Xenopus tropicalis: one gene and its partner. Each later gene encodes a partner of the first gene's protein in a complex. Links are inferred from orthologs where the notes say so. Each region holds a gene or a part of one and is shown on either strand. Other genes may lie near its edges.

What was found.
Region 2: the proteins of rad9a (region 1) and rhno1 are in contact, whole or in part, in a crystal structure (PDB 8WU8), measured with the Homo sapiens proteins. The link is inferred for Xenopus tropicalis from reciprocal best matches to the Homo sapiens genes RAD9A and RHNO1. Residues at the interface, in NP_004575.1 of Homo sapiens: Val41, Ser44, Arg45, Ser46, Ala47, Tyr48, Glu130, Leu132, Gln133, Ala134, Val135, Glu165, Tyr181, Glu183, Thr216, Phe217, Cys218, Gly244, Pro246, Val261, Leu262, Ala263, Thr264, Leu265, Ser266; in NP_001239428.1 of Homo sapiens: Thr88, Lys90, Phe91, Pro92, His93, Leu94, Thr95, Phe96, Glu97, Ser98.

What each region holds. Positions count from the first base shown.
Region 1 is NC_030683.2:57,497,903-57,502,682, reverse strand, and holds the start of rad9a (cell cycle checkpoint control protein RAD9A), read right to left. Parts: upstream 2,930-4,780; 5' UTR 2,889-2,929; intron 2,551-2,888; 5' UTR 2,474-2,550; intron 1-2,473. UniProt on the Homo sapiens protein: Component of the 9-1-1 cell-cycle checkpoint response complex that plays a major role in DNA repair. The 9-1-1 complex is recruited to DNA lesion upon damage by the RAD17-replication factor C (RFC) clamp loader complex.
Region 2 is NC_030679.2:10,384,488-10,389,182, forward strand, and holds the start of rhno1 (RAD9, HUS1, RAD1-interacting nuclear orphan protein 1), read left to right. Parts: upstream 1-1,720; 5' UTR 1,721-1,824; exon of another isoform or gene 1,825-2,017; intron 2,018-3,202; exon of another isoform or gene 3,203-3,245; 5' UTR 3,246-3,283; coding exon 3,284-3,451; intron 3,452-4,695. UniProt on the Homo sapiens protein: Involved in microhomology-mediated end-joining (MMEJ) DNA repair by promoting recruitment of polymerase theta (POLQ) to DNA damage sites during mitosis.

The sequences.
Region 1 (4,780 bases):
AAAAAAAGTTGCTCAAGTCCAACCCCATCGAACAGCCCATGATGCACATTCAGCAGGGAAAAGAAGTATTGCACACATCAACATTTTTCACAGTAAATATATTTCAAAAGGGGCTATTGACATGAAATTTACACCAGATATTGGTAACAACCCAAGAAATCCACACATACAAAGAAATCAAAACAAATAAGTCTTTAAATTAAGTTATGTGTAATAAAGTGGAATGACACAGGGAATAAGTATTGAACACATGAAGAAGAGGCATGGAAAGCAAAGAAACCTGCTGACATTTGTCAGTATTTTGAAAGCAATCCTGCCCCCTATCAGTGCAAAATAATTTCAGCTGGCTTAGTCCTAATAAATGGTTTCTCATTACCAAGGTATCACACAAGAAGCATCTCATGATGGGTAATAGCAAAGAGCTCTCTCAAGACCTTTGCAACCTTATTGTTGCAATACATACTGATGGCATTAGTTATAGATGTATTTCTAAGCTTCTGAATGTTCCAGTGAGCACAGTTGGGGCCATAACCCGGAAGAGGAAAGAACATCATTTCACATTAAAAGGGCACGACCAGGTGTTCCTCCCAATATTTCTGACAGAGTAATCAAAAGAATAATCAGAAAAATTGTCCAAGAGCCAAGGATCACTCATGGAGAGCTTCAGAAACACCTTGTACAGTTGTTTAAAAAAAACAATAAGTAATGCACTCAACCAACATGGCCTCTTTGCAGGCTCAACGCGCAAGACACCACTGCTAAAGAAAAAACATGTTGAAGCTTGGTCAGATGAAAAAATGACACTGCACATCACATCATTTCAAATGAAAGGTGGGCATGTCCTGACAGAGACCTGAGATGATCTATAGGGAGCTCCAATAAAGGGGCCATTTTTGACAGTGTTCAATTTAGCCAAAAGTGAAATCAGCACCATATATTATTCATAATTGCCTACAAAATTGGGGTTTTTTCAATGTTTCCAATATGTCTCCTTTAAGCTGAAAGTATTTATCAGAAAGGGAAAGGTCTATAAAAACACTGCACTGAGTTCTCTCAAAAGAAACAGGATTTGTTGTCTTTGTTTTCCTGTGCCAGAGACATGCAGCTCTCTCCCCCTCCCTCAAGAATGCTAAGAACTCACTTCCCCCCCCCCCTCTTAGAAATGTGTGATCTGAGCCAATCAGTAGGAAACTTCCTCATCGTCTTACAAACTGAGCATGTACAATGGTCTCGGTCCAGGAGTGAGGAATTATGGGAACTTTCTTTTCAAAGCTTAGATTTTTTTTTTCCTATGAGGTTTCTGATCATCTGAACAGGAGAAATATGGGGGGACTTAAAGGCACTATTGAGAAAACTGAAGGTATGCCTGCAGCTTGAAATTAACTATTAGCCTTTCCTTCTCATTTAAAGGGAAACGAAAGGTAAAATCACTTGGGGGTGCCAAAATGTTAGGCACCCCAAGTGACTTTAACCGCTTACCTCGTACCCCGGGCTGGTGCCCCTGTTAGGAGAAAATAGCACCAGCCCGGGGCACCTGGAGCGGATCGTTTCCTTATTCCGGCTTCCGTTTCTGGAATGCCAGCGGTGGGCGAATGCGCAGTAGAGTGAAAAGCCGACTTTAAAGTTTAAGTTCGGCTTTTCACTCTACTGCGCATGCACGCGCAGCGAATCAGGCAGAGGCAAGCGCCGGCAGCTACCCCGGGCTGGTGCTGTTCCCTCCTCACAGGGGCACCAGCCCGGGGTAAAATGTAGGTGGTCAAAGTCACTTGGGGGTGCCTAACATTTTGGCACCCCCAAGTGACTTTGACTTTCTTTTTCCTTTAAGCCCATTTATTCAATTTCAATACACAGAGACATGTAACATCACAAAGTTTCTTCCCTATCTATGCACCTTACACTATATTACCTGTACATGGAATTGCAAATAAAAGCAGTAATTCTCTATCCCTTTCTATTGTCTGGGTCTTAAGCTGGCCATACACGTGGCAATCTGACGATGTTTCGTGCAACCATCGGTAAGGAGGTAGAAACAATAGGATTTCTACCTCCTTCTGCTCCTTCTGCTGATTCAGCGCTGAAGGGAGATTTTGGTCAGGCGCCTTCTATGGCGCCCAATCAAAATTTTCAAACTGGTCCGATCGGCGAGTCGGCCGATATCAGCAGCTTCCTGCGATATCGGTCGACTCGCCGACATACCATACACGCACCGAATATCGTACGAAACGAGGTTTCGTACGATATTATTGGTGCGTGTATGGCCACCTTTACTCTTAAAACAATGTTACAGGGTCAGGTCTCCTCTAGGTATTTTTATCCAGCTGCCTTGTATTATTGCTCCAAAATCAAAGCCAGGAGTGCAGAGAATGTAAGCAAGACAAATAAAGCTTTTTAGATATTACATTAACAAATCACTTTAAAACTACTGAAAGTTTGTAAATAAAGTATATTGGACAGTTAATTAGAATTGCATTACCTTTCTATAAGCAAAACAAGTTTTTGAAAGGAGAACCCCTTCAATCTTCATTTAGAGAACTTCCTCTTGCACTACAGCTTAAAAAAAAAAAATTAAAAAAATAGTCATAATGCGTATTTGAAAGTATTGTTACCAGTTCAGTAGAGACCCATAATATGCATTTCTATGGATTAATGCATTCGTGTAGGTCAAATTTTAACAACTAGCCAATTAAAATTGTTAAGCATTAATGCCTCTAAATGACGACTGCATGTACGTTCGTGCTGATCCAAAGGCATATTCAAGACAACTTATTTGGAGGTTTTTGGTCTTAAAGTAACGAGTTGTACCATCTTACGCTTTAGTCTAAACGTTCTCCTTTTCAGAAAAAGGATATACTATCAACTAATTTTAAAGGTCGGCCCCGCTCACATACCGCCCAATAGTCCCGCTTTTAGCTGGACAGGTCCGCTTCTCTTAACTCAGCCCTCAGTCCCGACTCGGTCTTAAACGGTTTCCAAAAGCCATTTATATATCTAGTTCCTGTGGCCGTGAGTGACGTCACAAACACGTGAAGACGTGGCGACGTCTCCAACACGTAACATTCAGCGCCTTCTTCAAATGCCTGTGTAAATAGATTATAGGTGGTTACTCGGGGATGCTATGGAGAGAATGGCTCATTAAAAGTAGTGTCACAGTGCGCTATTGAGTATTGGGTTGCGCTGGGTAGCATTATTTTTTTCTTGGGACAGAATTAAATGTAGGAGTTTATTCAGTTGCCTGAATACTGGGACACTTGATGTTCAGTGGAGGCTGTGGATCTATTCTATGTAAGGTGTGTGCCCTTAATTTTAGGGGGTTGTTGGAGCCTGCTTATATGTGGAGTGCTTGTATTTTTTGGGGTAAGGGTGCTGATGAGTTTTGGGGGTGTGCATTTTTTTGAAGGGTGGTTATTGATTTTTTTTTTCCAGCTGGGTTGACGTGTTGCACAATTTTAAACTATGGGGAAGAGTTTTGGAGTGTGCTTATGTTTTTGGCATGTTAGATAATTTTGGGGGAGGTTTTGTGTATGTAACCCCTTTTTGGCTAAAAAGCACTTTAAATGCCAGGCTATGGTTAGAGCATGGGGCACATTGGGACTCTATTTCAAAGGGGTGGCCTTCGCTAAGTGGAAGGCAAAATATACGAAAAAGTCGCAAAATGTTCGTTTCCAATCCGAATTTTTCCCATTCGAATTCGTGGATTAGTAAATCAGCCCCCTAGAGTGTGCTATGACAGAGTCTAGTCCTGAGACTAACTTTACCTCGTTCACGGGGCCCTGTCCCCGACTTTACTTCAAAGAATATGGCTTACTGGGGCCTATGTCTGCACCCAGGCTCAATGGAGCTGTTGTTGGGAAGCAGACAGGCAGCCACACCTCCTTGCTAGACATTATATGAGGCTGCAAGGAGTGTGGACAACCATATGGGCCAATAAAGTATAGGCATAACTATAAACTGTTACAAAGGCTTCCAGTAACAAGGGATCTATGTGAAGAGGTAGGGATATCACTCCATAGGGCATTTAACCCTATGGGTCCCTACATTTGCTTAAAATTTCGGTTGTGCTTTTTTTTTTTACCCAGAATATTGAGGGGAGATTGTGTTAGTAATATGGGTGGCATAAGTATTTAGATGTGCTAGTGGGGGAGGTACAGTGTGTGGTGAGATTACATGAGCTGTGGTAGGTTTATGTCTGTGGGGGTATTTGACTCTAGAGCAGTGTGTAGGGAAACTAGACCTACCTATGATGTGAGTGGGCTGTGGCAGCAGGTGAGGTCTGTAGTTATAAATGGGGGGGTGGAGGTGTGTAAGTAAGACATTATTTATGTATCTTAGGTATGTGTATGCCTTGCAGTGTATGTGTCCCTAGTTGTATAACTTGTATACCTGACTGTGGGAAAGTGAGGCACCTCTAGGTATGTTTGTGTCTTTGGGGTTAGGACAATGAGGGGGGTAGACCTTCTATTTGTCAGGAATGGGGGGGATAGGTTGGGTCAGTCTGTGTGTGCCTCCAAGGTATGGTTTTGATTGTGGGTACTGTGAGAGATACAAGCAGTAAGAGCACTGTTTGGTGTATTTTCCACCATTGTTAAAGGTGAGATACAGGTAGCACCAGGGAAAATGCCTGGTTTAGCAGCAGCTAATGCTGTATTCATGCAAGCAGAGTAAAAAAAAAAGCCGGATAGGTGAGTCCTGGAGTAAATGGAGGGTTAATAGAATAGGTCCTCCATTCCATACTCCAATTTAGCATTTTGATTTGGCCAGCTGTAAGAAGCTGCCCGATTAG
Region 2 (4,695 bases), on another chromosome or scaffold:
GTACTTGATCCCAACTAAGATATAATTACCCCTTATTGGGGCAGAACAGCCCTATTGGGTTTATTTAATGGTTAAATGATTTTAGCAGGCTTAAGTTATGGAGATCCAAATTAAAGAAACATCTGGAAAACCCCAGGTCCCGAGCACTCTGGATAACAGGTCCCATACCTGTATATATTAATAATGGGGGAGTGCAGAGGACCTCTTGTTGTTGTTGTCTATATGAACTTTGCAGTCACAGCTTTATTGCACCTCTGCCTAATGGTTTAATCAGGGGTGCTCAATCTTTTTAAGCAGGGGGCCAGTTCACAGTCCCTCAGACTGTTGGGGGGCCAGACTATAGTTTGTCCCACACCCCTGGCTATAACTGGCCTGCCTCAGCGTGGTCCTTGGCTGCATCACGTTACCCTGTCACACCCGCCGATGCTAATGTGTCCAGCGAGGGCCACGCTGAGGCAGACAGGTAGTAGCCAGGGGTGAGGACACAGCAGGGGTAGGTAAATGCCCGTGGGGGGCCGTAGTTTGAGGACCCCCTGGTTTAAAATGTAATGGTCAGCACAACTTTCCCTTTTTTTGCACTAAAGCCAGAAAACATGTTAAATATCCTCAATTTGTAAATAAAGTTGCCATGGCTGCGTGGTTTCATCACTAGCACAGTGCCAGCGGCAGATAGTGCCCAAATATACAGTAGCTGGGCAAGTGGCCTTACTGACCCATTGCGGGACCCCCCAGCAATACAGCAGCTGATGCATAGAATGATTTGCTTGGGGCTATGGAACAAAGAGGAAGGATTACAGGCATTTATGGTACAGCATCCTTCATAATGAACTCCCTGCTGCTCTGATTGGTTAGTAAGGAGAACTGGACCAGCTAGAACGTTATTCTGTTAGGTTCTTGCTGTATATGTGATACAAGGGGGTTAGAGATCCCTTCTCGTGTGTTTCTAACTTTATTTTCCAACCTATACTAATTCCCTAATAACACCCGCACTGCTACAGAGTGAGCGACAATGGCTCTAGCACCCCCCTTTACTGATTGTTAAAGCCCCTGTCCCCTCCTCATTCACTGAATAGGTCACTCATTACCCATTGAATTGATGGAGGAGGAGGGTGAGGCAGACAGAAGGCAAAGCCATTGTATAACCCAACAACCTCATTATATGGGCGCACTAAAGCCAGAAAACAGGATACATTTTCACAATTGGGAGATAAAGTTGCCATGGGCAGATAGGGCCCATATATATATATATATATATATATATATATAAAATATGTGGCTGAACCATTGCAGGACACCCCCTCCCCCAAAAGACCATTAAGACATTACAGGTGGGTTGTAGTTGAACAACAGCGGCTTCCATAGAGTGGAACATGACAGTTCCATATTGAGAACTGACACCCCCTACACCCACAGGCCTCCATGCTCCTTCTACACAAGCCTTGCACCCACCCTCATACACACACAGCCCCAACTTCACGTCCGATGACGATCTAACCCGATCTAAATACCTGTTTATAAGACGGTGTCAATATCGGGCCTTTCCGTGGTTTTTGAATTTTCGCGCTTTCGGGCCCGCTTAAACCCACGTGACCACATCGACCAATCCACAGCGCGTCCCTAGCGCGTCACGCATCTCTCGACCAATCGCGCAATCAATCAACGAGTTCCTTTGGCAAAGAGCCAATCATAATGAGCGAGTTATAGAACGCTCGCCGTAGCCAATCGGTGTCGGGGAAAGAGAGAAGCCCTAACGTATCCCGGAAAGAAGGGGATATTACAGCGCTGGGCCGGAATGTTCGGGGGCTACCTGTCCGCTTATTAAGGGTTTGTAGCTGTCGGTGGGTTGTGGGTGCAGTTGTGGATAACAAATTGATTGGTGGGGAACATGCTGATTGGACCTGTTTGTTTTAAACGGAATCGGAGCCGTCATGTTGGGAGCGCCATCTGTGGGTAACTCATGGTATGACAGGAGGCAGAGACTAATGACTGTAGCACTCAGAGCTTGGCTAACGTACAGGTATGGGACCCCTTATCCGGAAACCCGGTATCTAGAAAGCTCCGAATAGACTCCATTTTAATCAAATAATTCAGAATTTTTAAACCTGATTTGTTTTTTCTCTGTTATAATAAAACAGTACCTGTACTTGATCCCTTGATCCCTGGCAGAACAGCCCTATTAGGTTTATTTAATGGTTAAACGATTCCCTTTTCTCTGTAATAATAAAACAGTACCTGTACTTGATCCCAACTAAGATATAATTACCCCTTATTGGGGGCAGAACAGCCCTATTGGGTTTATTTAATGGTTAAATGATTCCCTTTTCTCTGTAATAATAAAACAGTACCTGTACTTGATCCCAACTAAGATATAATTACCCCTTATTGGGGCAGAACAGCCCTATTGGGTTTATTTAATGGTTAAATGATTCCCTTTTCTCTGTAATAATAAAACCGTACCTGTACTTGATCCCATCTAAGATATAATTACCCCTTATTGGGGGCAGAACAGCCCTATTGGGTTTATTTAATGGTTAAATGATTCCCTTTTCTCTGTAATAATAAAACAGTACCTGTACTTGATCCCAACTAAGATATAATTACCCCTTATTGGGGGCAGAACAGCCCTATTGGGTTTATTTAATGGTTAAATGATTCCCTTTTCTCTGTAATAATAAAACAGTACCTGTACTTGATCCCAACTAAGATATAATTACCCCTTATTGGGGGCAGAACAGCCCTATTGGGTTTATTTCATGGTTAAATGATTCCCTTTTCTCTGTAATAATAAAACAGTACCTGTACTTGATCCCAACTAAGATATAATTACCCCTTATTGGGGGCAGAACAGCCCTATTGGGTTTATTTAATGGTTAAATGATTCCCTTTTCTCTGTAATAATAAAACAGTACCTGTACTTGATCCCAACTAAGATCCCTTATCCGGAATACCCTTGGTCCCGAGCATTCTGGATAATGGGTCCTATACCTGTACCAGCAGCAAGTATAAGGATTTAGAATCTAAAAATAAGGCAGTGGGATTTTACAGGCAAAGCCAAAAAGGTTTGATCTATTTTAGATCAAACCTTTTTGGCTTTGCCTGTAAAATCCCATTGGCTTATTTAATGGGAGGCTTATTTGCCCACTGCCTGTCAGTGTTCTGCACCTCATACTAATCCTGCTGTCCCTCTGTTTTTGTGCCTTAGGGCTGATTTTCCTGGATACAGCCATTTGTTTATTGCCCCTTAGCACCATGTGGCTGCTGGCGTTCCTGCCATTAACTGCCGATGCCTCGTAAGAAGCAGACCTCATACAACGCAAGCAAACCACGCCTGGTGTTCCTGGAAAGCCCAAAGCAGGGTCTGCGCCATGAGTATGGACTACCCCCTGACAAGGCGGCCCACCCTGTATGTGTGCCCACCAAACCTCTGGATCACAATGCATCCGCCTCTTGGGTAAGTGTTGGGTATTTTTTCATTGCTACATTAGTTTGCTTTGATTCAGGAGGGTGTTAAAGCTCTGGGCTACCCTGGGATCTAACACCCCCATTCATCAGAATGGCATTCAGCTGTTTACAGCAATCACAGTCTGACCAAGGGATACGTTGCTTTGCATTGATGAATGTTAAGGGGTTGTAAACCTTGCTGCACTGCTCAACCAAACTTTATTTAGTTGTTGCTGGACTATAAATCCCAGAATAATGTAATATATGATAGTTCAAGCATGCTGGGAGCTGTAGTCTAGCAACATCAGGATTGCATTTTTAAAGCAGTATTGCACAATAAAACTATTCCCCAAATCTCCACAGCCAGCAACTGCTTTATAATGCAAAACAATTCTCCAATGAGAATCCCTGATTCTGTAACAAGATATAGGCTTCTAAATGTCATCAGCAACAGGCCCACTGAACAGTTTGATGCCCATTGTGCCATCTTGGAGTCAGGAAGGAATCGTTTCCCCTCTGGGGCAAATTAGAGAGGCTTCAGATGGGGTTTTTGCCTTCCTCTGGATCAACTAGAAGTTAGGCAGGTTATATATAGGCATTATGGTTGAACGTGATGGACGTACGTCTTTTTTCAACCTAACTTACTATGTTACTATGTATATTGTGCATAGGTTTACATAAGTATAGGGCATGTAGGGGCCCCAAAATAAAAATGCCCCCCCATATGATCTGTCATTTTAGTTACTGCACAATCAACATATTTACTGCATTTTATGTGGGGTAAATCCTGCCTAGTGACAAGGAAGAAAAGGAAAGGTAGGGTTTAACATCATAGGGGCATATTAACCCTATGGGTCCCTACACATACAATGACAAATCACCCTAAATATGAATGGCCAATGGCCTACTGAACAGTTTGATGCCCAATATGCATAGATATACCAAAGTCTGCGGTATGTACTGACCCCAAAATGAAAATAGCGCATAAGGATTTCTCGTCTGCAACTCAGCTTTTGCACACAGAGCCCCCTGTCAGTGTATTATGTGCAGTAACCCCCCCCCTAACTATACACAGACCCCCAGAAAACCAGTGTCGAACTGGGGTACCTGGGGCCCATCAGAGAACCGCACCCTAGGGACAAACCAAACACAAAAGCTGTTGCTGCGACCACCACCCACCCCCCTACTATGTATGGAGTCCAGCTACACGTTACACATTTATCATCTGCAACATTTCACCAGCAGGTTTCAGTG